7 linked regions of the Nothobranchius furzeri genome follow. The protein of the gene in region 7 purifies or fractionates together with the protein of the main gene of each other region. This does not show direct contact. Links are inferred from orthologs where the notes say so. Each region holds a gene or a part of one and is shown on either strand. Other genes may lie near its edges. The genes, in order: rad51, trim13, hadhb, ccnf, pink1, nod2 and sqstm1.

The links.
Region 1: the proteins of sqstm1 (region 7) and rad51 purify together in Homo sapiens (affinity purification with western blotting; 3 studies listed by BioGRID). This does not show direct contact. The link is inferred for Nothobranchius furzeri from reciprocal best matches to the Homo sapiens genes SQSTM1 and RAD51.
Region 2: the proteins of sqstm1 (region 7) and trim13 purify together in Homo sapiens (affinity purification with western blotting; 3 studies listed by BioGRID). This does not show direct contact. The link is inferred for Nothobranchius furzeri from reciprocal best matches to the Homo sapiens genes SQSTM1 and TRIM13.
Region 3: the proteins of sqstm1 (region 7) and hadhb purify together in Homo sapiens (affinity purification with mass spectrometry; 3 studies listed by BioGRID and IntAct, with this or other methods). This does not show direct contact. The link is inferred for Nothobranchius furzeri from reciprocal best matches to the Homo sapiens genes SQSTM1 and HADHB.
Region 4: the proteins of sqstm1 (region 7) and ccnf purify together in Homo sapiens (affinity purification with western blotting; 3 studies listed by BioGRID). This does not show direct contact. The link is inferred for Nothobranchius furzeri from reciprocal best matches to the Homo sapiens genes SQSTM1 and CCNF.
Region 5: the proteins of sqstm1 (region 7) and pink1 purify together in Homo sapiens (affinity purification with mass spectrometry; 3 studies listed by BioGRID and IntAct, with this or other methods). This does not show direct contact. The link is inferred for Nothobranchius furzeri from reciprocal best matches to the Homo sapiens genes SQSTM1 and PINK1.
Region 6: the proteins of sqstm1 (region 7) and nod2 purify together in Homo sapiens (affinity purification with western blotting; 4 studies listed by BioGRID and IntAct, with this or other methods). This does not show direct contact. The link is inferred for Nothobranchius furzeri from reciprocal best matches to the Homo sapiens genes SQSTM1 and NOD2.

What each region holds. Positions count from the first base shown.
Region 1 is NC_091743.1:91,861,197-91,865,342, reverse strand, and holds the start of rad51 (DNA repair protein RAD51 homolog 1), read right to left. Parts: upstream 2,801-4,146; 5' UTR 2,724-2,800; exon of another isoform or gene 2,690-2,723; intron 2,392-2,689; 5' UTR 2,305-2,391; coding exon 2,221-2,304; intron 1,288-2,220; coding exon 1,150-1,287; intron 1-1,149.
Region 2 is NC_091754.1:26,763,769-26,767,535, reverse strand, and holds trim13 (tripartite motif-containing 13), read right to left. Parts: upstream 2,425-3,767; 5' UTR 2,112-2,424; coding exon 2,079-2,111; exon of another isoform or gene 1,951-2,078; intron 1,882-1,950; coding exon 694-1,881; 3' UTR 501-693; downstream 1-500. Other genes in the region: spryd7b (SPRY domain-containing protein 7b), read left to right, coding at 3,308-3,413. UniProt on the Homo sapiens protein: Endoplasmic reticulum (ER) membrane anchored E3 ligase involved in the retrotranslocation and turnover of membrane and secretory proteins from the ER through a set of processes named ER-associated degradation (ERAD).
Region 3 is NC_091742.1:11,824,653-11,827,748, forward strand, and holds part of hadhb (trifunctional enzyme subunit beta, mitochondrial), read right to left. Parts: coding exon 3,032-3,096; intron 331-3,031; coding exon 209-330; intron 6-208; coding exon 1-5. UniProt on the Homo sapiens protein: Mitochondrial trifunctional enzyme catalyzes the last three of the four reactions of the mitochondrial beta-oxidation pathway.
Region 4 is NC_091752.1:57,977,772-57,981,216, reverse strand, and holds the end of ccnf (cyclin-F), read right to left. Parts: intron 2,147-3,445; coding exon 2,047-2,146; intron 1,951-2,046; coding exon 1,814-1,950; intron 1,544-1,813; coding exon 1,365-1,543; intron 1,133-1,364; coding exon 684-1,132; 3' UTR 501-683; downstream 1-500. UniProt on the Homo sapiens protein: Substrate recognition component of a SCF (SKP1-CUL1-F-box protein) E3 ubiquitin-protein ligase complex which mediates the ubiquitination and subsequent proteasomal degradation of target proteins.
Region 5 is NC_091755.1:38,779,652-38,783,794, forward strand, and holds the start of pink1 (serine/threonine-protein kinase PINK1, mitochondrial), read right to left. Parts: upstream 2,801-4,143; 5' UTR 2,709-2,800; coding exon 2,352-2,708; intron 1,930-2,351; coding exon 1,654-1,929; intron 1,573-1,653; coding exon 1,469-1,572; intron 1,390-1,468; coding exon 1,207-1,389; intron 1,049-1,206; coding exon 885-1,048; intron 797-884; coding exon 669-796; intron 1-668. UniProt on the Homo sapiens protein: Serine/threonine-protein kinase which acts as a sensor of mitochondrial damage and protects against mitochondrial dysfunction during cellular stress.
Region 6 is NC_091749.1:70,956,527-70,960,545, reverse strand, and holds the start of nod2 (nucleotide-binding oligomerization domain-containing protein 2), read right to left. Parts: upstream 2,801-4,019; 5' UTR 2,665-2,800; coding exon 2,188-2,664; intron 1,146-2,187; coding exon 1,019-1,145; intron 1-1,018. UniProt on the Homo sapiens protein: Pattern recognition receptor (PRR) that detects bacterial peptidoglycan fragments and other danger signals and plays an important role in gastrointestinal immunity.
Region 7 is NC_091741.1:64,353,584-64,357,533, reverse strand, and holds the start of sqstm1 (sequestosome-1), read right to left. Parts: upstream 2,801-3,950; 5' UTR 2,570-2,800; coding exon 2,407-2,569; intron 2,245-2,406; coding exon 2,149-2,244; intron 2,078-2,148; coding exon 1,803-2,077; intron 1,686-1,802; coding exon 1,532-1,685; intron 1,423-1,531; coding exon 1,354-1,422; intron 681-1,353; coding exon 526-680; intron 450-525; coding exon 251-449; intron 167-250; coding exon 6-166; 3' UTR 1-5. UniProt on the Homo sapiens protein: Molecular adapter required for selective macroautophagy (aggrephagy) by acting as a bridge between polyubiquitinated proteins and autophagosomes.

The sequences.
Region 1 (4,146 bases), on a different chromosome or scaffold from region 7:
TCATTTACTCAATAACCTCGTGTTGGTGACATCACAGAGGGGGTTAAGGTGGACCACTTCAGATGAAGCCTCTGGTTCTAAACTCCAGACAGTCATCTCTACGTCACGCGCAGGAGCCCCCATGTTTACCTGCACATATCAGGTGCAGGGATTCCCCCAGCACTTTATATATAGTCATGCCCCGCCCCCCTCCCCGACCCTACAATGTCCGCTGACACAAACGGCGCAACAAAACTAGAGCCCTCATCAGCGCTGCGGGACGGTTTGTCATGTGTGGCTTGGTGTGATGCATCTGGGTTCAAGGATGTGCATCGTAAAACAAAGCCTGTTGTTCTCAAGAGACTCGTTTATGCTTCTGCGTCATCTCCACAGGTTGGAGACGCACACGCGTGTTCGGTCTGCTGCTACACGTCTTCAGCTTGCTTTATGGTTCTGAGAGCACAATGACAATGCTGTTGACGAAAGCGGCGTCCTGACCAATCGCAAGCTTGTGTTCTTCATCTCGTTGAGAACATTTTCTTCAGAGAGTCAGTGAGTGAGAAGGGCAGAGAGGTTTTTCAATGTAACATCTGTTAGATTTTAAAGTCCAGACTCTTTCCCTCTGGGATTAATAAAGTATTTTTCAATTGAATTAACAACACGCTTCTGATATAGTTTTATAACGTAGCCTAGGGATGTAAGGAAATATCGATATGGCAATATAGCTTGATATTTTTTCTAGTGATATTACATCCATATTCAAAAGCTGTGAGTCTAATTTTTGAAAGAATTTACATGCAAACTTGTGTATTTGCTTTTATTTTGGTGCGATGCAAACGCTGACCGCTAGATGGCAGCAGTGTGCAATGGGTTTCCTATCCACCATTGAAATGTAAATCTCTATTATGGTTCAGATACCTCATGTTAAACATGTTATGTATCAGTTTGGACTGTTTATTGAATTTTCCTACAATAAATTCAGTCAAAAATAAATAAATAAATAAAAATCGCTAATGTCCTGAATGTATCGTGATACATATTGCATCACCATAATTTCACCAATTTAATTTCACCCTAGTGTTTAGTGTTAAATAGGTGGTGTTGCTGCCATGGATCTCTTCTCTCCTAGAAGCATATTAATGTCTCAGAGAATAAAAATATGCTCCTTACTAAGATTTTGTCTGCTTTGGCCTCGCTGATGCCCTTGATGTTCAGCAGCTCCTTCTTCGGTGCATAAGCCACAGCTTCGATGGTGTGGAAACCTGCGTCCTCCAGCTTCTTGATGTCACTGGCACTTACGCCACATTGCTGCATGAAAAGACAAGGACCAGTCTAGTATCATTCCACTGAGTCAGGAAAACCAGAGCCCTGTACAGACATCACTGACCGAACCGACCTAAAGGAGCACAAACGCTGTTCCACATCCACAGTAGCAGGTAATCAGTGATCCCCTCTCAGAAACTACTGGAGCTGCTGAACTGGATCATAGACTAAAACCATAACAGGGTTCTTATAGTGACAAGCTCTCAGGTGAAACAGCGCTCAGCTTTTGAATAAACCAAAAATAATAATAATGATCATTTTGAGCTTAGAGGATAAAACAAGACAACATACAGCTAAGATCTTTGTAGGGAGACTCTGTAAAAGGTTCTGACCAATCACTGCCTGGCTCTTTGAGCCGACTCGGTTTAGAGAAACAGATTAGTCCTGACCAGATTGATGAGCTAACAGCTAGTCCAAACAGGACAAAGACCAAAGTGGATCACTGCCGTCATCAAACAGCTCCGTTTTGTCTGAGATAAAAGCACACACAATACGATACTGAAGGGTCCTGAATAAGAAGTTAATGTGAGCTGCAGATTTTAGTTCCAGCTGAGAAATGACCACCGTCAACAGAACCTCTTCTGCTTTTAAAGAGAAGACAAAACTCTTCGCTGGTGTGTGAGAGCGGTTCTGGGGTCATGTTCGTGTAGGTAGCACCTGGCAGCTGGTATCTGAGAGGTTACTACTGTCTGATACGTGTCCTGTAGGACTGCATTTACAATTCAGATTGGACACAAAGGAGACTTCTTGTCCTAGAGTGAAGCTGACAGCTTCACCTTTAATGTGCTTTGGTGCATTCACATTTACGTTTACTTCACGTGAATCATAGGAAAAACCTGTAAAACATCCATAAAACAAGTCAAAGTTCGAGTGAAAGAAGACCAGAATAACTCAGAGGGAACAAGTCAGGAAACGAACCTCCAGTCTGCTCAGAGGCTGTGGGCCGAAGTTCTCCTCCTCCTCCACCTCTGCCTCCACTGCTGTTTCGCTCCTCATCGCCATGGCAGCTGGATCAGGCAGACAGGAGGGACGCAGACGGTGAAACAGAGCACAACTCTGTGTGGTGGAGCTCAGAGTGTTTTAACAACGCTGTAAAACACAAGAACACAGAGCCAACGTTCAAAGATTGTGATTGAAATCAAAGCTAAAATATAAAACTGCCATCATCTTCAGTTACAGATGTCCACCTCCTGAAAAGAGGTTTCCTGGCAGTTTTACGCAGGCAGCCAGCTAGCTTAGCATTAGCACTGTCGCTGCATCTGAAGTGGCGTTAATGTCTGTAAACTGCTGACAAACCTGCTCAGACCAGAGATAAGTCTGATTAAAACTCACGCTGCGGTCTCGTAAGCTCGTACACATGATACTAGACAGCCTTTTACTAACGTACCTGCTCGATAATGCCGTACTAGCTAACGTTTTACCTGCTTCTTTCTTCTTCTTGTTTTTATCTCGCTTCTCTCAAAGGTCCCGCGCGCACAACAACGCGATGACGTTTAACGTACAGTTCGCTTGCGTGAAACAGGATATCTCTTTTCCCGTCAAAATAAAAGCATATAGAGCTTTTTTCTTCTTTTTTTATAATCTATGAATTATTATAATATTATTATACTATAATATTATCTATTATCTATTATTATTATCTATTATTATTATTATTATTATTATTATTATTATTATTTATAATAATGTGATTTCTATAAAAGCAATTTAGCTATCTAAAATGCAGTCATCGATGCATAGAATAGCAGACAGTTTTTAGAACATAATGTTAAATCTACACCAAGGTAAAAGTAAGAGTATGTTGCTGTTGCTTTTATTAGTTATCATAAAAAGATAAACCATTTGGCACTGCACAAGACTATGAATCTGTTAATCCATCACATGATTGTACTGAGGTCTGCAGGTGGACAAAGGGCAGTGGTGAGTGGGGGGTATACAGATCTTAGTGCTCCAGCGTCCAGCATTCACAGAACATTACCAGGATATAAACAATGCCACCAGCAGAAACAAAAGGATGACAGCAGCCAGCTGTTTCTCCTAAATGAAAAGCAGGATTTATTCTGTAAAATAATCCTCAGTTGAGAAACAAATACAAAAGAAAATTCCTTTATTGTCCCCAGAGGGAAAATTTAGGTGTCCGTTCATCTATCTATTTTCAGCTGCTTATCTGGAGTTGGATCATGGGGGCAGCAGCCCAAGCTGAGAGGCCCAGACTTCTCTCTCTGCAGCTACATGGGCCAACTCCTCCGGGGAAACCCAAGGCATTCCCTGGCCAGCTGGGAGACATAGTCCCTCCAGCGTGACCTGGGACTTGGGTCTCCTCCCAGTTGGAAGTGCCCAGAAATGCAGGGAGGGGTCCAGGAGCATTCTGACCAGATGTCTGAGGCCCTGTCCACACGTAGCCGGGGATCTGCCAAAACGTAGATATTTTTCTACGTTTTGGCCTGTCATCCACACGAAAACGCATCTTTTTAAAAACTCCGGCCAAAGTGAAGATCTGCGTTTTCTCCGTTTTGGGTGTCTGCGTGTGGACAGACAAAACCGGAGTTTTAAGGTCCGCAACGTCACTTTCCGCGACAAAAAAATGCTGACATCACGTGTGCGACCTGTGTTTACACTAGCCGACAGCATGGATGCCCTCAGAGCTGCGCTCGCTTTATCAATTGTCCAAGCGCTTTTTGCTTGTTTGTTTTTGCAAGAGGAATTACTGCTGCTTGCGGAAGACCACAGACGAAGGACGAGGTTACGAACGGCTATTGCCCGGCACCTGGCTTCTTCACGTCCAAGGCAGGTTTTTCGGCAAAGACACCGACGCAGGTTCTGGGTCAGACCGGGAAGGACTGC
Region 2 (3,767 bases), on a different chromosome or scaffold from region 7:
GGACTTGTGTTGTTTTTATCTTATATCTGCCCAGCAACAGAAATCTATATATGTACAGGCGCGCCATGACGCATCCTGTAATAAGGCGTGTGCTGACATCAATGATTCACTTCGTGGTCTGGTTTGGGGGCTTTTCATTCCTGTAGAGGGAAATAAAATGTTAAACATTTTTCAACAAAATTCACAGTTTTTTCGATCTGAGCTACTTTATTTAGAGAGTTCACAGAGCACTCAAACAGTTTTTAGTGTTCATTTGAAAATAAATGAGACCGCAGATGTTTATTGTGGAATAAAGCAGCATGTTATTTTGGGGGGGTTTATGAAAGCATTTTTGGAGATCTGCTCCTTTTTTCTCCCTGATGAATATTTCACACGGGCCCTGTTACATAACTAACCTTGAGGAGGTTGCAGCGTCATGGCGCATCCTGTGGGAGGCCATGAATCAACTGCGCTTCTTTACCCAGTTTGATGCTCTAAATGAAAACAGCCATAGAGGTGACTCAAATTTCTCGGGTTTATTTGTGTTCAGATATATAAAAAAAGGTACAAAAGAATACCAGATTTAGTAAAAGGTGAAGTAAATTAGTGTTGGACTGAAAAATGAGGTTGATTTTAAGGCTCGTTTGAGGCAAAAGACAGATTGTAAACACTAAATTATAAGTTTTAGATGTTATATTTAAAATGAAATGAAGATTATAATTTACATCTGTGCATAAAGTGGACAGTGCTGTCAATGAACTTGTTGACATATTCCTGACCTGCATCCACCATATCTGCGCATATCTCAGTCACTTTTCGCATGTAGGCGTCAGCGTGCAAAGAACGTTTAGTGGGAAACACTTGGATCATTGAGGTCATTTCTGTAGTGTCCAGCAGCAGCGGCAGGATGAGGAGTGACATCGGCAGCGTGATCAGGAATAAAACGATCCATCTGCGCACCGTGATCCATGCGGATCGCGTTCTGGAACCACTCTCACACGGGACTGAGATCTTGTCCACTTCACTGAGCCTGAGAGAATCCCACCTTTTCACGTCAAACTCGCTCACAAGTGGCCCGACGTCCATGTCTTTGCGTGAGGGCAGGGGAGTCTCCTTGAGGACTTTCATTTTCTCTCGGAACTCTTGCATCTGCTGCAGAAAGCACAGGGGTTCGGATGCGCTCCTGAAGGATTCGATGATGCTGAGCGCACCTCTCTGCTCCTCCAGCGCTGCGCTCAGCTTGGTGATCTCCGGGTCGTACGCCTGCATCACCACCAACTTCAGGGTTTCAAAATCGGACAGGATCTCGCTCTTTTTGCACTCGAGGGAACTGATGAGTTTATCAAAATAGTCTGCCACTTTCTCTGCGTCCTTGGTGATGGACCGGAGCGCCTTTTTCTTACTTGCTTGTAGTGTCTCCAGACAGGACAGCATGTCCGCGCTCCTCCAGCTCTTCACCTCATGCTGCAGCTCTCCAAATGCCTTCTTCTCTTGCTCATAAGCATCATCCAGGGAGCAGAATCCGTGCCCTTTATGCTCATCCGTCGTTGCGCAAAAGCCACAAATGAGCCTCAAATCAGTTGCGCAGAACATATTCAGGGGCTGGTCACAGTGTTGTTTACAAACCTTCATTTTTGGCATCACCTTTATTTTGCTGAACTTGTCAACTATTCCGCGCAGAGAATAGTTGATCTGCAGGCTATTTGCGCCGTTGTGGGGGGTTTCTTTGCGGCATGTGGGGCATTTGATGGGAATTCTGAAAGCTGGTCCCCTGATTCCTTCCAAGAGTCCATCCAGGCATTTCTTGCAGAAGCTGTGTGAGCACAGCAACACCCGCGGGTCCTCGAAGAGTCCACAGCAAACCGGACAGGTCAGCTCCTCTTCCAGCTGCTCCATGACGTCCTGTAAACACATCACCGGCGCGTCAAATACAGACCTAGACAGTCAGATTCAATAATCACTCACACTCACATGGATGCCATGCCACTTCGTAAGCCACAAAATTATTATCAAAAACACAGCAGCATCGCAAACGATACATATTTTGAATGGCAATCATGTTCCGGCTGAAGCATTTCCCTCCTGAAAGTGAAACTGACTTGCATCGCGGTGCCTGCGTAAAACCCAGGCATGAGCGCTGACAACGACTCCGTTTGCGCATTTATGGCTGAGCGACATCCTGTTTAGGGATCTGCTACCCTTTATCGCTTGGAAAGGTTTTTAGAAAGGTCAAGTCACCAAATCAGAAAATGGAAAGTCCTAAAAATGTGTTTCTCAGTAGACAGAGCTGACTGAGCCCTTAAATCAAACGACGCGTCTCCCTCGCTCTAATCCAGTGCGGTAAATTATCAACAATCAGCTCGCTCCTTGTTGGCAAGGCACCGAAAGCAGGGCTTATGACAGATTTTGCAAGCGCATAGTAACATGCAACTACTGGACCAAAAGAATCGCTCACCAGCTGCTGAGACGCTCAGTGCAACGCAATCATGGCGCTTGTTGCTGTGCAGACTTCGCCCTTTCCGGGTATGCGGTTAACCATTTCAGGCGCACATTAAAATGTGAAATATTGCGTTTCCCTTCTATTTGTGCGCACACGAGACATCCATCGTGGTGTGTGTCGATTTTCACATCGCGTATGTGTGTTTCTGATCATTTGGCAGCTTCTTTGTTGAGTACTTGAGTGTTTTCGTTTTTGGTCGCTGTAGGGTAATTCGCAGAGGATCCCTGGCAGTCGGATGGGGGAGGGGCTGTTGCTATGCAAAACGTTACAGCGTGAAAAACTGTCAAGTAGGTTATGGTTCCAGCCTGGCATCCACTTTTTTAACTTTGGACTACTTTATGTGTTAGTAATCATCAAAATATGCAACTGTGTGCACTTACAGCTGCAATAACTGGGATGATAAATAACACCAGTCAGCGCCGCGCTGAGCAAACGTAAAAGGTACTCCTCGGTTCAGCAACAGAAGCTGATCAGTGTGCTGTCATGGGCTGATTTATTACAGTTAGAACGCCAAATCTAAACTCCGATTCCCACATATTCAACTTTTAGCACATTCTGTGTTATGTAACATCAATACTCAATAGTTACTTAGTCACGTGGAAAAATGTTGACCTTGATTTTCTTCCCTTGTTTCCATGCCATCAGGAGCAACTGCCTATCTTAGCAGCTGTGATTGGATACCGTGAGGCAGCAAGGCACACTTGTAGTTCTGACTATTTCCGCTAGGAGCCGGTGTTGTATAACGGCGGATCTTTTCATGCTGTGACCGCCTGTGCTCTTTGGTTTTCTGGGTTCGTTTCCGGATGTTTGGCTAGTGTGGAAGCAAGAATGGCTGCGATGTTTACGTGTTGTTTTGGCTGCTGCGGAGAAGGCGGTTCGGGGCATGTTCCCCTCAAAGAGATGCCCACTGTTCAGTTAGACACTCATCACATGGGTAAGGAAGGTTTTATGAGCTGCAAGGACCTTATACAGACGCAGTTTGATATCTAAACGTATCTTAATAGCGCGTCAATCCCGCTGCTAAAATGAGCTAGCAAAAATGCTATTGATGTTCTTCGATTGTAGTCTTGTTGGTTTCAAATGCTTACTTTTAGCCCCACTGAGACAAAATAATATAATTAATTTGGCACAAAAGCTTACAAGATGTATTCGTTTTGTCTTTGTTAATTTTATTTTGTAGTACAATTAACGAGACGTGGTTACAGTCGAGAAAAAATAACCTCTTACAGATTTCTTCAGCTTTTGCATTTTGATTAAGATCAACACACAGATTTCAACATCAAATAAA
Region 3 (3,096 bases), on a different chromosome or scaffold from region 7:
TCAGTCTGATGAAATAAACGTACATTTATTTACAGTCGAGGAAAAATCAGACAAACGTGACGGAAGAGAAGAAGCTGAAAGACAAGCAGAGACATAAAAAGCTCCATCTAGACTTCTAGCGGAGAAGATCATGGTGGAATAAAGTTCTAACTGATGAGTTTCCATCACACCGGAGCAGAAAGACCCCGAGAGTCCAGGCGAGTTTTACCAGGAAGGACGAGTTGGCGGCAGTGACGGTCCCGTGAGGTTTAACGAAGGCAGGTTTGAGTTTGGCCATTTGCTCCATGGACGATGGGCGGATACCGTTGTCCTGAGACACAATATCACGACCTGAAGAGACAAACATACAGACTTTTAACCACAGTTTGTTCCCCTAAACATTCTGTAAACAAAACAAATGACAGTAAAGATAATAATCAGTAGGGGTGAGACACGTGCCAACTCAAACATCTATTCATAAATGTTCATAACCGATTATAAATAAATGCTAAAACAGCCGTCGGGCGTGGTAGGAACATAAAAGTTACTTGTGCCACCCGGACACTTTACGGGACGGACCAGCGAAAAAAACAAACCCGCAACGGCGGAAGCTTTTTTTTTTATTAGTTTCAGCCACTGAGTGTGAGATTTACTCGTCAGACAGATTAAAGAAGAGTTGTGTAAAACTAAAAGCACAACAGCAACACACCTTCCGCGTTTCCATCCCGGGTTAGATAAAGAGAAGAAGCCAGAGGTTATTCCTCCTAACTAGCAAACAGCCGAGGAAGGATTAACTAAACTTTCCCGCAACTCCGGCCTCTCCATAAATCTCCGGCGTTGCTTTGCTGCAAAGCCGAGGCAGCACCCGGGAGCCTTTGGCCACATAAAAGTGGTCACATGATGGTGGGATAAAGGGTGTGGGCGCCGTCTCCTCGCTGTCACAAGCTTCCTGTTAGCTTGAACGTAACTTGCTTTGGTAACACTTTAGTTTAGGGGACACAAAGTAACCATTAATTAGCTGCCAATTTACATACATATTAGTGGACTACTAAGTCTGAATTGGTCATTATTAAGCTATTATTAGATGATTATTACCAACGCTGTAATTCTAATATTAGCAGGCCATAAATTAAGAGTTTTATCAAAATGAGCCAATCATAATGGTTTGTTGCTGATTCAATATCATCAATGTGAGGCTTGTAACAAAGTAATTGAAGGGGAATAATTATTCTGCATTAATAACCAAAAATATTACGTTCTGGTAATATGCAAATAAACACCAAACTCCATGTTAATAGAGCCTAAACAACAATCTAACCACTTGTAAGCAAGAATATGTTCCCCATTCTAAAGTCAGATTTTGTTCATACCTAATTACTAGTAGTTCTGTATTAATTAACCACTTAAAGGCAAGAATATGTTCCCCTTGAATTACATCTTTAAAAGCCACATATTGACCCTTTGCACCGACGTCACCTAATCACGTGGGTCCACCATGGTGGACGGCTAAAGCATGTAAACAGTGAGCGACACGAGTAGTAAACAAAGGGAAAAGTAGAGCCTGAAATTGTTTTTGTGATCAAAACAAAAACAAAACTCCTCCAGCATTCCTTCCACTAGTTCATGCCCAGTTCAGTTATCAGAAGAAGTAGCGCATCTAGCGGGGGCTCATAGAGAGCGGTATGTTAACTAGCTTACCAACGTTAGCTTACGTTCTCTCTGCAGCTGTTCACCGATGTAAACATGTTGCTGACTTTGCCTAAATTCACCCCTTTGGATTTATAACTTTATGTTGTAAACAGCATTTTACACCAAAGCTGAGTCCGGATCCCTACCAGCTTCTGTTGCTGGTGGTGTTACCGGGTTCAGCTGCTGCTCTCACACCGGAATGAGAAGATCTCTGAATGCCGACGCTCATATAAATAAATAACATCATTTTACCACACGTAATCATACATCTGAGCTTTAATATTGTTAATAATTGTCTCGCTTTACACTACAGTGGACGGAGCGCAGCCTCCGTGGTGAAATACCCATCCATCAGGATTATCAATAACTAGTATAAACACATCACATTTATCCCTGTCTTCCTCGTGAAATAAATGAACGTTAATCTTACCAGGTAAAAACATGTTTGCTGCAAATCTGAGGCCTGCTAGTCCGCTTGATTGATCGCTGCATCATCTCCGTCATCAGTCTCCATCAAAGTTATTAAAAGTAAAAAACGAGTTGAGTTTACGTCCTTGTCTCTTAGTGCAGCCGACCACGCAGCAAGCTAAAACCATTTTACTGTCAAATCAACTAAATAAAAGCGATACAAGGCTACAAACTGGCTTGTTTTGACTACCATCACTGGAGTTTCTACGGGTGTAAACGGTCTTTTTGCCGTCCAGCATGGCGAAGGGGGCGGTCACATGAGTGGCGTGACGTCACGTGCAAAGGGTCAGTTGATGTGAGCTACTTAGCATGTGTGTTAATCAGCAACAAACCAGTTACCAAACAGGTAACAAACCATTATGAATGGCTTATTTAGATAAAACTCTTAGTTTATGGCCTGTTAATGTTAGAATGACGGCATTAGTAATAAGCTGTTTATAAGTGCTTAATAATGACTAGCTCAGACTTAGATGTCCACTAATATGCATATTAATTAGCAGCTAATTAATGGTTAATTGGTGTTCCCTAAACTAAAGTGTTATGCCGACTGAAGCAACGCTCCTAAAGGTCCTCACAGCCCCACGTGAACGGTCGGGTGTTTTAAAGACCAGAAGCGCCACATCTCTGCCGACTCTCAGCTGATCCCAGTTCAAAAACTAAACTGACCTGTTAACTTTCATTATCCAGGTTTATCCTGTAGGTTTCAAGCCTACGTAGGGAATTTGTTCGATCTTACATGAATAAAGTAGTGGAGTAAACGGTATTTGGTAGCTTGAATTAACGTGTGCTGAATTAAGTGGAAAAAAACAAAAAGCTATGACAAGAGAAAAAAAAGACAGCAAGAATCTACGTAAGATGGCACAGCCCTACTGTTGAGGTGAGAAGCAGAGCTTACCTGGCACTTTAAAGGACACCACATCCTCCAGCAGCCCGTCGCTCTGGGCCTTTTTGGCGAGTGTG
Region 4 (3,445 bases), on a different chromosome or scaffold from region 7:
GGTCACCAACAGCAGAGTGGTGCGGTTGGGACTGCTGCCGACTCAAAGTGATGCATTTCACAGCTGTGTGTGATTGGACAGAGGCCACGGGAAAGACCAATGACACCTCTGCACCTTTGGCAAACATGTAAGACAAAACAAAAGCAAGAGGGCCTCCTCTTCAGATGCAAACTTTCACCAACTAGATCACAGTAGTAGCCTTATGATGAAATTCACCAAATACAAGGTTGTCCTGTACAGACAGTGCATATCAAAGGCTTTGACGATATTAATAGTCACAAAAACTATAACAGCTTTTTTTTTTCCCTAACAACACTTTCTTTCCCACCTGAAACAGTAAATCGGTGGTTTTTATTTCTTTTACAGCTAAGTAATGTGATCTCAGCTAGGCTGTTGTAGCAGGCTGAAAAGCACCAGGCTCCCGAGCAACAATCAAGTCATATTCCAGGGGGTTTCAGAGATGACGGCGAGTTCACGGGAGCGATTTCCAACCGCTCCGCGCCTGTAATCATGGAAATGAAATGTGGTAGAACGACGAGTTTCCAAGCAATCCCTAATTGTGTTTGTTTTCCCTTTCAAGTCTTTAAAGCCAGTCTATTGATCTTCTGGCGGTTGACGAACTAAGTGAGAGACAGCTGGTGAAGACGGGTTTGAAACGGAGTGAGTCGTAAAAATATCGCCTCCTACAGGCTTAGAAACCCAGCACGGGCAGAAAACCCTTCCCTTTCCAAGTCGTCATCATCGTCTCGTTCCACTTCACCTCCACTATGAGCTGCAATGTTCTTCCTCTTCACTTGTTTGGCGAAGGTGCCTTTGGGCCTCTGCATGGGCACCAACAGGCGGAAACCTGGCTGGGCGTTAGTGGAGGCCACGCCCAGAGAGGTGGTAAAGGTCCTAAATGCAAAATGCATGAAGGAGGAGGAGGAGCATGTGGACGAGGGGCTAACGCTCTGGACGGATGAGTACCCTGAACTATGAGGGTCTGCAGACACGGAGAGGGCTTCTTCACCTTGGTGACCCTTGCTCACTTCTACTTCACAGAAGCTGTCTTCATCACTGGACAGAGCTCGGCAGTGTTCGCGTCCATCATCAGCACCAGCCAGTGAGTGCAGTTTGATGGATATCATGGAAGCTGTTGAAGAGACATTAAAAATGAGATACATAAAAACAATGCACAGCAAATTTTATTTCTCTACATTTAGTCTTCATTTATAAAGATGGACAATAAAACTGCCGAGTCAGAGAGTAGCTCATGCATTATTCTACTACTTTACATGGAGATTAGAACATTTATATTCATTGCCTGGAAGACTTTTAATAATCCCGTTGGAATAAACACTCTCAGCCTCGTTCTTGTCACTCACAATCCACATCTTTCTCTCCATCGCTTTCTTCCTCTTGATCACCCTCATAACCAGAGCTGGAAGAGTCCAGACTCCAGTCCAGGATGTCTCCCAACAGCGTCTCCTCCTGATTGGACAGCTCTGCTGTGGGCGTGGCCACCAAACTGTCCCTGTGGTCCTGAACGCTGTCATCTCGTCTCCTGCAGGGAGAACGTGGACAAGTGGAGGGTTACAGCGAGTCACAGGAGCTTCTGGCAGACGGCACAAAGAAAAACGCCTTCTGGACAAGTCGGTTCACGAGTCACTGGTGGTGCTCAGGAGACAACCAGGACCGCTAAATGAGCAAGAAACCTGGCAGGGGCAGCCGTCACTGGCCTGTTGGCGAGTCTGGTCTCGTAACAAACCTTTTCCTCCGTCCCACATCCTCCAGCACCAACACGAGGTCGCCTGTGTGTCGGCGGCTGACCTACCTCTTACTGGTGCTTGACGGGGAAGCCAGGAAGGTGTGAATGTCTGCTGGTTGACCACTGGTGGGACTGGGAGGTTCCATCTGAGGCTCAATTTCAGGAATCTCCAAGATCTGACAGAGCTCTTTAAAATCCATCACCTTAAAGAGATAAAAAAATAAAAAATCAATGAGCGTTTGGATTTGAGAACAATATAGACAGGCAGAAAAAGAATGAGGAATGTTTGATCCTTTTACCTTTTCTTTGCTGATTTGCTGGTAGGCCTCGTCTTCAAATCGCTGCACAACACCAGCCAGAGACACGTGTCTGTGATCTTTGGGAACATCTTCACTGAAACTGAGGTAGAATGGAGAAGTGGGGGAAAAAAAATAAATAAATTTTTTTTTAAAAATTGAGTTTGATCCACTTTGCTTGCTGCACAGATATAATCAAGTCTCCACGACAAATCTTGCTACTTGTCAATTTGAGAATTAGTTTGCCGACATATTGCTCGTCCGTCAAAGTGACTCACGTTTGTGTGACTCACATCGAGTGGTGCCTCCTACTGTTCTTATGATCTGTGTTTTATGCCACCTTTAAATCCCTAACGACCTTTCTTTTTAGTAACCGGACGTTCTCAGCATCTTTTTCTTAATCAATACGTGCATGCTGAAAACAGCCCGGCACATGCCCGATCAATAGCTCTCATCGGTTTTACAGAGAAAAGAGCAGTGAGAAGGTACTTGTGTGTGCGTGTGTGTGTGAGTCACAGTGCAGTCATAAAACACAACACGGAGCAGAGTGTTTTCTCAGATCTTATTTGTAGTTTTGTGGATGGAAAATATATTTTTATTACCCAATCGGTGATCAATACAAATGTGGAGAAACAAAACAATCAATAGAGGTGATGTCATATCTACAGGTCATCCAAACTGCATTTATTGGTTTTTCTATTATTATTATTTCCACTAGTGGAGTATTTGAACTAAACTCTGGTTTATGAAATGTGACTGAAATAAAAAAAAGGAAAACATGAATATTTGATTCATTCAGATGTGCGTTTGATTTAAACAGAAGGAAGTTTTATATATAACACCTTTCAAGTTCAAAATCACAAGCTCTATAAAAAATAAAGAAAGATTCAAGATAAAATAAAAACTATGGTTAAGATGGAATGAAAAAAGAAAACAAGAGAGACACAGAAATGACAGAAACAATAGTTAGTGAGCAAGAAAAGAGATGCTCCAAAAACCTGGCTTCAAGATCGACTGAATCATAAAAACGGTTTGTTTGTTGTTGTTTGGTTTTATGCAATTAAAAAAAACCGTTATTCCTGGTCTGTGAACTCACCAGTACTCCCAAGTTACAGATCCTCCCTGTGAATGTTTTTACTTCCTGACTTCATTTGGGAATAAACACTTCTTCTTCTCAGAGTTAAATCAGAACCAGCCTAAATCTGAATCAGCTGTACAAGAATTACAAACCGGTATCGGTCCACAAATTCAGAATCGGTGCTAATTCAGTTTCAAAAGGTGTGTTGTTGATGTTTTTATTTTTATTTTTTTACAAAGACTATTGCGGAGATGAGACTCAGTTATCTGATTAGTATTGGCTGTTAACAGCCCAATCACAAATTACAATGGGATTTAATGAAAT
Region 5 (4,143 bases), on a different chromosome or scaffold from region 7:
TTTGAGACTTGGCGAACGGCATTGAATTCACAGATAAAAAAGATGTGGGTTCAACTTTCATTTTGGAACAATTTTTCAAGCAAGGGAAGGGAATGATCTGAGCATGCAGGAGGACTGACCCATCATAAACCTTTGTCGGCTGTGCTGAAGAGAAAGGTACAGAACCAAATTATTTAATTAATTAGCTGTGCGTTCTCCTGTCCTCCCGGCTACACACACACACACACACACACACACACGGGACTGTCTCAGCTGTTATTTTCATTAAGGAGTGTGCACGTACAGCATGCGTGCACGAGCCTACTATTGAAGCTGCCGTTATGCTTTTGGCCTGAGGGGGCAATCGCGAGCATAAAAATTCAAAACGCCGTAAAGTCCCTTTAATGAAAACTAAAGTTTAAAGAAAATAAGCATCGTTTCAATTAAAATCTTAATTCCTAACTAGCCTGTGCTGTTTTCTACTCATACTAATTTCACGTGTTTCCACGTTAATCAAGAACTTTTCCAACAGATCCCAAGCCCTTGAGCCAGTAAGTTTTGTGAGTAATTCTCAGCTCAATATAATCAAACCAGTAAAGTTGGAGACATTTTTCTGTTTGCTGATCTGACCTTAGGAACTAAACAGCTAAAGCTGGCTCTGATCCTGATAAAGAAGAGGTGAAGCGTACCTCAGGAGCCATGAGCGAGATGTTTCCTCCTCTGCTGACACACAGGCTGCTGAAGGGAAGCTGTAGGCTGGAGCCACTCTGAGCCAAACAGCAGCCAAAGTCAGTAATCACTAAACGAGGACAACCACCTAGAAGAATAAAACCCAAACAAAATCATTTTAGTGCAACAGATAGAAACATGGCGTCTAATGGAAGCTTCGTGTTTTTAAATCCGACCCGAGTCAAACTCCAGCAGCACGTTGTCTGACTTGAGATCCCGATGGGCGACGCCCTGCTGGCACAGATGATCCACCCCCTCCAGGAGCTGCAGTACCATCAGGGATCTCTGCCTGCAGCTGGGCTTGGTCACCTGCAGGTACTGTCGCAGTGTGCAGGGATAACTATGGAAGCAAAAAACAACACTTATGTATCTGAGGATGACCTGCACAGCAAAAAGTGAAAAATGACCAGAATGATCCACTTGAATGCATCTGCTGGCCTTCTTCTTTCCCCAAAAGTCTGTTCACAAACTATTTCACATTTAGGAATCGGGTCTCACTTCTTCATGACCACAAAAAGAGTGCGGTTGTTGCCCAGGCCTGCGGGGTTGAGTCTGGCTGGAAGCACATCTGGATACTCTTCCTGAGCTCCTGGAAGCAACGGCACATCTGCAGTGAACGCCCGGTGAACTCTGATCACATTAGGGTGAGCAGAGACCCTTTTAGGGACGACTCCAAAATATCTGCATGTAGAGAGATCAAACATAAGCATGACTATCGTCCTCAGATCTGCACTACACTGCAGAATGTGTAAACATCTACCCATCCAGGGTGATCTCTTCCTCTTCTGGCTTAAATGCAAGAGGACCAGAAGGAACCAGCTCCTGTGACATAGATTTTAATATCGCCTCACTCGAAGACCCTGCCTGCAAACAAATGACATTTAAAAGAAGTCGTTTTTATGTTTTTTTTTAAGTTTCCTTTTTCTTTGGACCTGAATGACTCACCCCAAAGTTCCACAACATCTTGATAGCCAGGGGGAAGTTCATCAGAGAGCAGCACGTTGGAGATCTCACCATCTGGACATCCTCTTTGTCTTCTCTGACCTGTTCCAGCGAGTGCTCTCCATTGCTTTCCTTTGAGTTAAAAAACTGAGGTGCCGCTTCGTACACAGCTGCATTTGAACCTTTACCAATCTGGTTTCCAATGATGTAGTCTTCCAGCTTGTATCCAGAGCTGAACGGTATGAGAGGGCTCTGGAACGTTTTCTTTCTGAACACTGCCTGCAGTTTGGGAGAAAGAATTGGTTCAGAACCTACTCTTCAAACTCAGCGTTTCCATCTGATCTGCTCTTTGGGTGTTCCCCAAGGCTCTGTCTGGGTCCCCCACTACAAGCCGAGTGTATTTATCTGACACATAAACAACAATGCATTTGAAGATGTGATGGTTCTTTGCATTCAATGCTGAGAACAGGACCACACCAACCCCGCAGTCATGGCTCTTCCACTCCTCCACAAATGAGCTCACAGCTTTCCTCGACATCCTGCTCATGTTCTAGCAGCCCACTGTTGCTGCTCAGGAGGCCACCATCATGCTGGTTCACTGTGGTTTCCAGAGAAATTCTCAAACTCTTCTCGTTTCAACTTCTGTTTGAATCATTAATATTTGGCCATGACTGCAAGTTTGCGTTTCGAGAGAACCTCACCTGGATCTCCTGACAGGCTGTCGCACTCCGTCTGTCATCTTCAAGCTGTTGCTCGACGAGACCCACGCCGAGACCGAAAGCCAAAAACAGGGCCCTGTTACGAGGCGAGCCGCCGGTTAACCTCCTCCTGAAGCCGGCGTACTGAAGCTGGGCTGCCAGCCCCTTCAGGGAGGTGCGGTAATACCGGTACCGGGACGGCAGGAAAGCCTGAGGCTGAACGGTGCGGACCGACGGGCCTGCACGGAAACGCTCAGCTAGGAGCTTCGCTGCGACTCGGCCACGGGATTTAAGAAGACCCAGCTGAAGGAAGGAGCGTCCCAACTCCAGCCCCCGGCTAATGGCGTGCTTCACAGACATTGTGAACACAAAAATGTGCCTCAAGAGGCTTGGAAAGCTCACTTCCGCTAGCTTATCTTGTTAGTAAACAACAGCTGTGGAGCATGCGCAGAAGATTCTAAGATCCTCTGGCGACATCAAGCGTCAAGAGCGTCACACGACATGTGTGATTACAACCCAAAGAGCCATTTCTACCACATGTCCAACTACCAGACTAGGTGTGACCAAGTCACTGCTTTTCAAGTCACAAGTAAGTCACAAGTCTTTCCAGTCAAGTCCAAGTCAAAGACAACCAAGTTCAAGTCGAGCCCAAAGTCAATGATGTGGAAGTCCAAGTCCTAAACTTTGAATTTTCAAGTCATAATCAAGTCATCTGTCCAACTTCAATTTAATGACAATGATAATAAATAAATTCCAGAAATAAAACTTCTTAAAACTGAATTTATTTGCTCAAATAAGCAGAAAGTGCAACTGAAACTGATTATAAACAAAGTGCTGCTGCAGTTGGCAGAACAAGATCAAACCCAGAACAAAGAATCATTTATGATTTTCGTCCGTGTCGTGCCACTTTTGTGCTGAATATCAAATATGCTCAAGTCATCATCAAGTCAACAGATGCAAGTCGATTCAAGTAGCAATTCACTGGTGTTCAAGTCCGAGTCAAGTTGTAAGTCTTTATAGGTTTTATCAAGTCAAATCAGAAGTCATTAAAATAAATACTCAAGTCTGACTCGAGTCCAAGTCATGTTACTCAAGTCCATACCTCTGCCAACTACCCACCTGCATAGAGCCACATTATCGATTTGACTTTAGACTTAGTTCATTTATGTTATGTACGGTTGGTTTATTCCTTCAACATTTCAGGTAAATAACTTAATGCAAGACAAGTAGGCCTACTATCTATCTATCTATCTATCTATCTATCTATCTATCTATCTATCTATCTATCTATCTATCTATCTATCTATCTATCTATCTATCTATCTCGTGAGTCGTGGAGGATGGCTGCTTATACTGAGCCAGGATTCTCTGGAGGTTTCTTCCTGTTAAAAGGGAGTTTTCCTCTCCACTGTCGCTTTATGCTTGCTTAGTATGAGGATTGCTGTAAAGACTCTGACACTAGTCAGTGACTCGATGCAATTTGCTGAGTTCCTTATATAGGAAACATTTTTTCTGATTGGCTCAATGAACAGACCTGAATTGGGATGTTTATTATGTGAAGTGCCTTGAGACGACTCTTGTCGTGATTTGGCGCTATATAAATAAACTTAATAGAATAGAATAGAATAGACTTTATTGATCCCACAGTGGGGAAATTCACTTGTTACAGCAGCACCAGCACTCACCAGAATAATTTGAAGAGAAAAAGTTAGTGAAGAATGGAGAAAAATCATCCTAAATAGCAAAAAACTGAAATATGTGAACATTGTATAAAAATCTGGACAGCTAAAATGTC
Region 6 (4,019 bases), on a different chromosome or scaffold from region 7:
ACTGTTCTACTAGTCAATAGCTAATATTTGGGGCAGCTGTAGCTCAGGTGGTAGAGCGGGTTGCCTCATGATCGGAGGGTCGTGGGTTCGATTCCAGCTCCCGCCAGGGGAATCCTGCTGTTGTGTCCTTGGGCAAGACACTTCACCCAACATGCCTGTGTTAGTGGTGGTCAGAGGGGCCGACGGCGCCAAATGGCAGCCTCGCCTCTGTCAGACCTCCCCAGGGCGGCTGTGGCTACAAGTAGCTTACCATCACTAGCAGTGTGTGAATGTGAGAGTGTGTGAAAGCGTCTTTGGGTGTCTAGAAAAGAGCTATTTAAGTTCAATGCATTATTATTAATATTTAAATTTAGCCTTTATCAATTATCAATTATATCAATTATAATAAAAATAATTTTCCTGTTTACCAAAGTTCTGGATCATCCTTAATTTCCAAACTCATTGAACAACGAGGTCCTGAGAACCAGAGCTGTAGGATGTAAATGGTAAATGGTAAATGGCCCGTATTTGATATAGCGCCTTCTAGAGTCCTGGAACCCCCCAAGGCGCTTTACAACACAATCAGTCATTCACCCATTCACACACACATTCACACACTGGTGGGGATGAGCTACAATGTAGCCACAGCTGCCCTGGGGCGCACTGACAGAGGCGAGGCTGCCGAGCACTGGCGCCACCAGTCCCTCCGACCACCACCAGCAGGCAACGTGGGTTAAGTGTCTTGCCCAAGGACACAACGACAGCGACAGACTGAGCGGGACTCGAACCTGCAACCTTCCGATTACGGGGCGAGCACTTAACTCCTGTGCCACCATGTAACCCTATTTCTCCCCACTGAGGCTGTTCAGGAACCTCTTTAGCTAATATTTGTACATTTCTACACTTCAGAATAAATAAAATATGAATCAATGGACAAATCAACCAACATATCGGTCTGGTGGACCAATACCTTTAATAGTTTTAGAGTATTTTGGTGCTGAGGTGGACTGGCAGACTTTTGACCCGGAAGACACGATACCTTTAGGGATTTCCAGTTCCCTCTGGTTCTGCTGGGATCCAGATTCCTGTCTTCGCTGGATGAACTGAAGAAGAGCTGACGCCGCAGACTCCCCTTTGGATCCGACGTGATCGAGCAAACGCCGGGCCTGGTTGGGTTTGAACGAGAACAAATTTACCCGAGGCCGAAAGCAGCAGTTCCACTTTTTAAATTCACATTTTAGAGGAGATAACTGCACAGGAAACGGCTCGGCGCACCCGATTAGAGCTTCAGACAGGAAGCTGTGGAGGAAACGAGGTGATGTGCAGAAGTAAAACCCTAATTTAGCAGTCGCTGTACTAAAATCTCCTCTATCCTTCAGTCACATGTCTGACCCGTCTGCGGGTTTATGGCTTTTTACACCAAAGCTTTCCAGATAAATCACTTCATACCTAAAAAAAACGGGTCAGAATGAATGTTAAAAAGAAGCCACAGGCTCAGGATCAGAGGGAGAACCCTAATTTCCATCAGACCCAGATGGAACAACCCCAGGGACCTGCTGGAGATGTGGACGTTCTCGTCCACGCAGAGCTCTAAAGCTCCAAACTAGCATCTTAGAGTGGACTAAACAGGAAGTTGGTACAGCCCAAATAAGGACATGATGACATAAGGGTGAAACTATGTTTCACAAAACAAGTTTTCAAATCCCTTCAAAAGAAGCTGCCTGACACCACAAAGAAGGCTAAAAGATCTCAAAAAGCCAACATCATGACCTGTTCTAGAAATCCAAGAACATAAGAACCCAGAACAACATTTAAACCCTTTTGGGGATTCTTGACGACTGGTTGTAACTGATGGAATCATGAATTTGGTTCTCTGGTATCCTGCTGATGGACATTTGACCTTTGATGTCTGCGTCAATCAGCGATTCCCTTATTATGACATCACAAACAGGGACTTTTTCAAACCGTTTATATTTCGCAAATACTCCCTGAAGCCAAACCCCGACAGATGGACGGGCACTTTCAGGTTTGGAGTGTTTATAGGTGGTGGCACAAAGGTGAGTTTAGTCATATTACGATATGTCCTACTTATATGAATCCAGTCGTCTTGGAAACCGTATTCTGCACCAGCTACCTCCGTCAATCAAAAACAGTAAGTGACAAAAGAGCACAAAATGGAGGAGATGTGTTTACAAATGCCTTTTTTACCTGTTGAGACGGGGTGTGAACAGGCAGCAGGACCTCATCTCGTTCCTCTGAGGAAAAGTGACCTGATTCCAGGAGAGCTTCCAGAGCACCATCCACACAGTCCTGAAGCTTGCAGACCAAACTCAGCCGTTGTATTAGAACTGTCTCTGCAGACGTCTTCTGAACTCTGTCCTCTAAAGGTGGGGGACATCCTGAGGACAGGCCAACTCTTTGGCCTTCTGGAAAGACCTGATTGACAGCAGCGAAGAAGATTCTGCAGGCTTCCTCACCTTTTGTATAAAGCAGGTCGAGCAGCTGCCTGGCGTTGGTGTGCAGGGCCCTCCCCGGGACTTGAATGCTCTGGTAGTCCTCCCATCCCAGCTCCCCCTGAGCCAGCAGCACGTCCAGAACCCTTTCCAGGTGCTCAGCTGAGCCGCTCCTGCAGAGGGCGTGGAGAACCTCTGAACGCTGTTTCAGCAGCAGCTCCTGAGCAAGCATGCTTCAGTCTTATCAGCTCCCATGCTTCAATCCTTCAGCTTCACATCTGGTACCAACCAGTCCATCAGGAAAGCACAGAAATCAGATTTCCTCTAGTGTCCCCCTTCAACAGACTAGAAGACTCGCTCTCACCTGTAAACACAAAGCGACTGACTGCCTTCTCTCCAGCCCTCATCAACCCAAAAGGACCGTTCAACCACCTCTTCCTCATTCCTCGTCTAAAAACCGAAACCTGGTCTGTTTGCCAAGCAGCTCCAGTGGAGCAGAAAGTAAACAATGGCTGAACTACCATAAAGCTTAAGCATCCTCATGAATTTGATTTGACAGGATATTGTTTAAAATGTTTAAACAAACCAACACTAATGTGTTTCAGGGAAATCAAAAGTAAAACACAGATCTAAACCACTTGTAACTTGGTGTTGGAGCCACTAGATGGCGGTGTTCCACAACAAAAACCAAACCAGGAGGCTCGAGCTCATCTGCTTGTGGGGACTTGATAAACCTACATCTCATCCTGGCCATGTGCAACACAGAGGTAGGTCCTTTAACCCTTTCTGCTCCTCTGGCTTGTTGGTTTTTTTTAACGTTGGCAGTCAGACTAATGGTGGGGAGAATTTGGTCATCGCTGGATGCCAAATCTACGCCCCTGTGGGCTCATTTGTCATCTTAAAGTGCGGTTATTACATTTTACTTATCTTCAATTTTGCCCCTAAAACTATCTAATAATAAGTTAACATATCATTTAAAACATGTATTTATCTGATTTAAAAAGTGGATAAATTAAATCAGCCGTTGTGGTCAAACATTTACTCAGTTTTTCACTAGCTTTATTTTTTTACTCAATTGTTTTTTACTTGTATTTTTATGTTATTTTATTTATTTGAGTAGTTTGTACATTAAAGGTTGAATATGGAGCAATTTCATAAAAAGCTATACATTGTTTTAATAATACCTCCACGGGGCGTTTAGAGGTGTGCAGAATGAAGATACAATATTTCCTTTAAAAGCTATATTTTAATTAAAAATATAAGTGCTCTGTTATAGTAAATGGCCTGTATTTGATATAGCACCTTCTAGATTCCTGGAACCCCCCAAGGTGCTTTAAAACACAATCAGTTATTCACCCATTCACACACACATTCACACACTGGTGTTGATGAGCTACATTGTAGCCACAGCTGCCCTGGGGCGCACTGACAGAGGTGAGTCTGTTGTACGTAGGCGCCACCGGTCCCTCCGAACACCACCAGCAGGCAAGGTGGGTTAAGTGTCTTGCCCAAGGAGACAACGACCGCGACAGACTGAGCGGGGCTCGAACCTGCAACCTTCCATTTACAGAGCAAGCACTTAACTCC
Region 7 (3,950 bases):
TGATGTCACTGGCGTGGGTGGGACTGCTTGGCGTACTGGATGGCATCGAGTGCAGCTCCAATCTCGAAGTTTTTAGCCTGAAGGAGCCGAGTCAACCAGCCGCCTTCATCTGTAAAACCCATCGAGAGCATTGACGCCAGCGACTCCACCAGGCGGGGGTCAGCCTCTGTGGGGGACAAAGGGGAGGGGCTTAATAGGGACAGGACTACCAAAAAAAAAAAAAAACTTGAACCGCAGAATCTGAACTCACCTTGAGGCAGGTGTGGATAAAGAGCTGCCTCCCGCAGACCTGTGGGTCCCTCCTCGGTCCCTGACAGAGGAGCTGGACCTGGACCTGGACTTGGACTTGGGCCTGAGCCCTGGCCCTCCAGCGACTGAAGCTCACCTGTAGATGGATCAACCTCTTTAGAGCTGAGATGAGTCCACTCATCATCTTCATCTCGGCCCACCTGCAGATTTGTGTATTTGGTCAGTAATTGTCATTAATTAGACTGATCTATTAGTTTTTGTCTGAGGAAGACTGACCTTTGGCCCCTGCTTTGCTCCACCTTCATTGCTGGCTCCACTTTCGCCAGCTCCCACATCCATCTGCACTTCACCCTGCTCTTCCTCACCTTGAGTAGGTGAAGTCACCTTCATCCTTTGCCCCTCATGCTCCACGTCGATGTCCACATCAATACCTGCACATGCACAGATAAAGTCCCTACTTCATCAGGATTCTGTTGTCAGGAAGTTTAATAGAAACGGTTAAATGTGATATTCTGATCTTTCTGAAGGGATGGTCAATAGGTCATATATCTACAGTACAGACACTGCCTGCAGGTGACATCACCGAAGGTGAAACAAAGTGCTCCTCTGAACAGAGGCTAACTAGTCAGCTTGGTAATGAAATAATACATCGTTTCTGGTGTTTAAAAACAACCCATAGTGACGCGTTAGCACGCTATATTAGCAGTTTTTAAAGCCCTACAATTTTACATGAGATTGTTTCTTTAGTTTATGCTGTTTGTTTTATTCTAATAACGTTTGAAATACTATGCTACTGCTACTGCCTGTGTGCCATTGGGTTTTCACTCTGCCCAAGTGGAGCAGCCAATTAGGAAAAGCAGGACATTGAGGTTTTTCTTCTGGCTAATCCTGGAAATTAGCTTCTAATGTCACAGATCCAGCTAGCCAAAAGTAATGCTCTGGTCAGAGGACTTCCTATTCCTAGAAACAGTAGTTTGGAATCTAAATTGACAGAACAGCACTTTAAAATGACTTTAAATGTCTGAATGACACTCGTGTGCGTATTAGGATGAGTTCCCTCTTGTTTATTGCACATTAAAAACATCTCCAGGTAAAACAACTCACCTAGTGGGCTCAGCATGGCAGCCACGCCCTCGCCAATGTTCTTCAAATAGTTCACGCTGACCTGAGAAGCTACAGAGGTCAGAGGTCAGTCTCTGTTATTGGACAATGGCTCTGAGTTGGACTCCTTTTGACTGATGACCAGTTTGTACATAAACACAGATCTGTTCACATCACCTACCAGAGGAGGTGCTGCAGTCAGATGCTGAGCTGGAGGGAATGGTTTGCTCCTGCTTCTGGTTCTGGTCCTGGTTTTGGGTCTGTGCCTGGGCCATGTGCTGGTTCCACGTGCAGTGTTTCATCTTTTTCATCCATTTTCCTCGAGGAAACCACTGCTAAATAAAATTTTAAGAAAACCACCGATTTATCACATTTTAATCAGGAAATGTGACTTGTTCTGACACCTGCCAGTGGTGACCTGAGCTCTGACACCTGTCATCCAGGTTACTCACCTGTAGAGGGTGCCACACGGGCAGCAGAGGGTGCTCAGTGTGGGTCCCTCGAGCCTGGCAGGTGGAGCAAAGGTCGTAGTCTGGACACACTGAACACTTGAAGCGCGTTCCGACCACAGGGCCCTCACAGCCGTCACAGGTGACGTTGGGATGGACGGCAGGGGGCGGGCCCGGGTGAGGAGGTGGGGCATGAGGAGGTCCATGTTGATGAGGGAGCCCGAAAGCGAAAGGGGGGAATGCATGAAGAGGGAAGTCCCGGCGGTGCTCCTTCTTTTCTGCAAGAGTTCAACAAAACTTTAGTCAGATGGAACCTTACAAAGAAATAACAGGAAGACGACTTGTTTACCTTTAATGAAGAGGCGAAAGGTGGCGTCCTTGACAAAACCCAGTCCCATCATCAGCTCATCATCAGAGGAGAAGGCCACCAGGTCTCCATCTTCATCTAAAACACCATAACTCAAACATCAAGTCCAAGCACAGATCAGGTGGCACCAAACATCATTCATCAGAATATTAAAAACAATCCAGAACCAGAAAGACACGCAGCAGAAATCCAGTCAGTGTTTGGGTTGAAACAGAACCAGCTCTGATATAAGCGCCTCACCCTTGTAGAATAGGTTGAAGTTGCTCAGGTTGGAGAAAGCTGCCGCCACCTTCCTGCTCAGGTACTCGAAGCTGCAAGAGACGTCCTGGTCCACCGCAAACCTGCGGATCTCCTTCACCTGCTCGTCCTTTCCCAGCAAGTAGGCTTTCACCGTCACCGACATTACGAACTCAATCGAACCAAACTCCGAACAGAGACAGAAAAACAACCAAACGGAGAACCAAACTCTAGAACTTTGTGACGCAGCGGTAAATTTCAGCCTCTTTTATGTTTACTTCCGCATTCTATGTCATCGTCTTAAGATGACGTAAAGACGCACACAGCCTCCCATTGGTCCTCATTGAGCTCCGCTAATGAGGGACCATTGCCGTCTAGAAACATCTTTTTACACAGCACGGTGAGGGACTTTCCAACTAGTCACGTGAGCAGGTGTTAGTTGGGAAAGCCGCTTAGTCATTGTGACGTGGCACATTGTTTTATTTGTTAGAAAAGTGATTGATTTGTAGTTTATTAATAAAAAAATATGAAAATCCTAAATGAGTGGATCCAGCTGAGAACGCAACTGCAGGTCTAGAAATCCAGCAGAGAAACATAAACATGCATGTTTGTGTGTGTTTTAACTGAGCTTTGGTTTCAACCCCGACATGCTTTTTCTGTTAATTATCTGCTGAAGATAACCCCAGTCCGTAATTACTACAACAGAGTCAAGAACCCATACACACTTTTACAGAATTAATCTACAGCTAAAACGAAAGCAATCTGCAAATCCTGCTCTAATCAGTCCAGATTCAAGCTGATTTTCTGCTGTCCAGTTGTAAACAATTAGATGGGATATGAAATGTAAAACATAAGTCAAACTCTCAGTATTCCTCAAACACCTGAGTCATCCTTGCATCACTCTTTTCAAATGTCTCATGAGCTTCTGTTTTGATCAAATGTTTGTTTGCATCTGTGATGTCACCCAGCCGCTGCAGCCAATCAGCAGCAGCATGAGTCATATGACTTGCTGACTCAGAATCACAAGATGAAGCTGAAAACCACCCAAACCTCTCATTTAAAGCCTTTAAAGGTCAATGTAGTGAAAGTCACTGCATTTGAAACTGTTATTCAGTTTTGTCAGCTTGACTAAAAACAATTTATAGAATCAAAGATTTTTAATGGAAGAATTAGCTAAATATTTTCTGACTACATTGTATAAAGAGCTCTGATTACATAATCAGGTTTCAACAACCTTAAGGTAAAATTAATTTAACATTTAATTTCAATTATTTAATTGTAATCATTTGTTTTTATTGCTTTGGTCCAATGATAAACATGCATGCTTGGATTTCTTTTTGTTCTTAAAACAAAGTTAAACAATCCCAGAATGCATCAGTGCTCTCAGCATCCTGGAGCTAGAGTGAGGTTCTTCCAGTGAGACTGATTAATAGCCAAATGAATCCACTTTTAAACCAGGTAACTGAATGAATTACAGACATTGAGACAAATATTTATTTAAACCAGTTAACACCTTGCACCAGAATCAGGTCCATAAGGTTTTACAT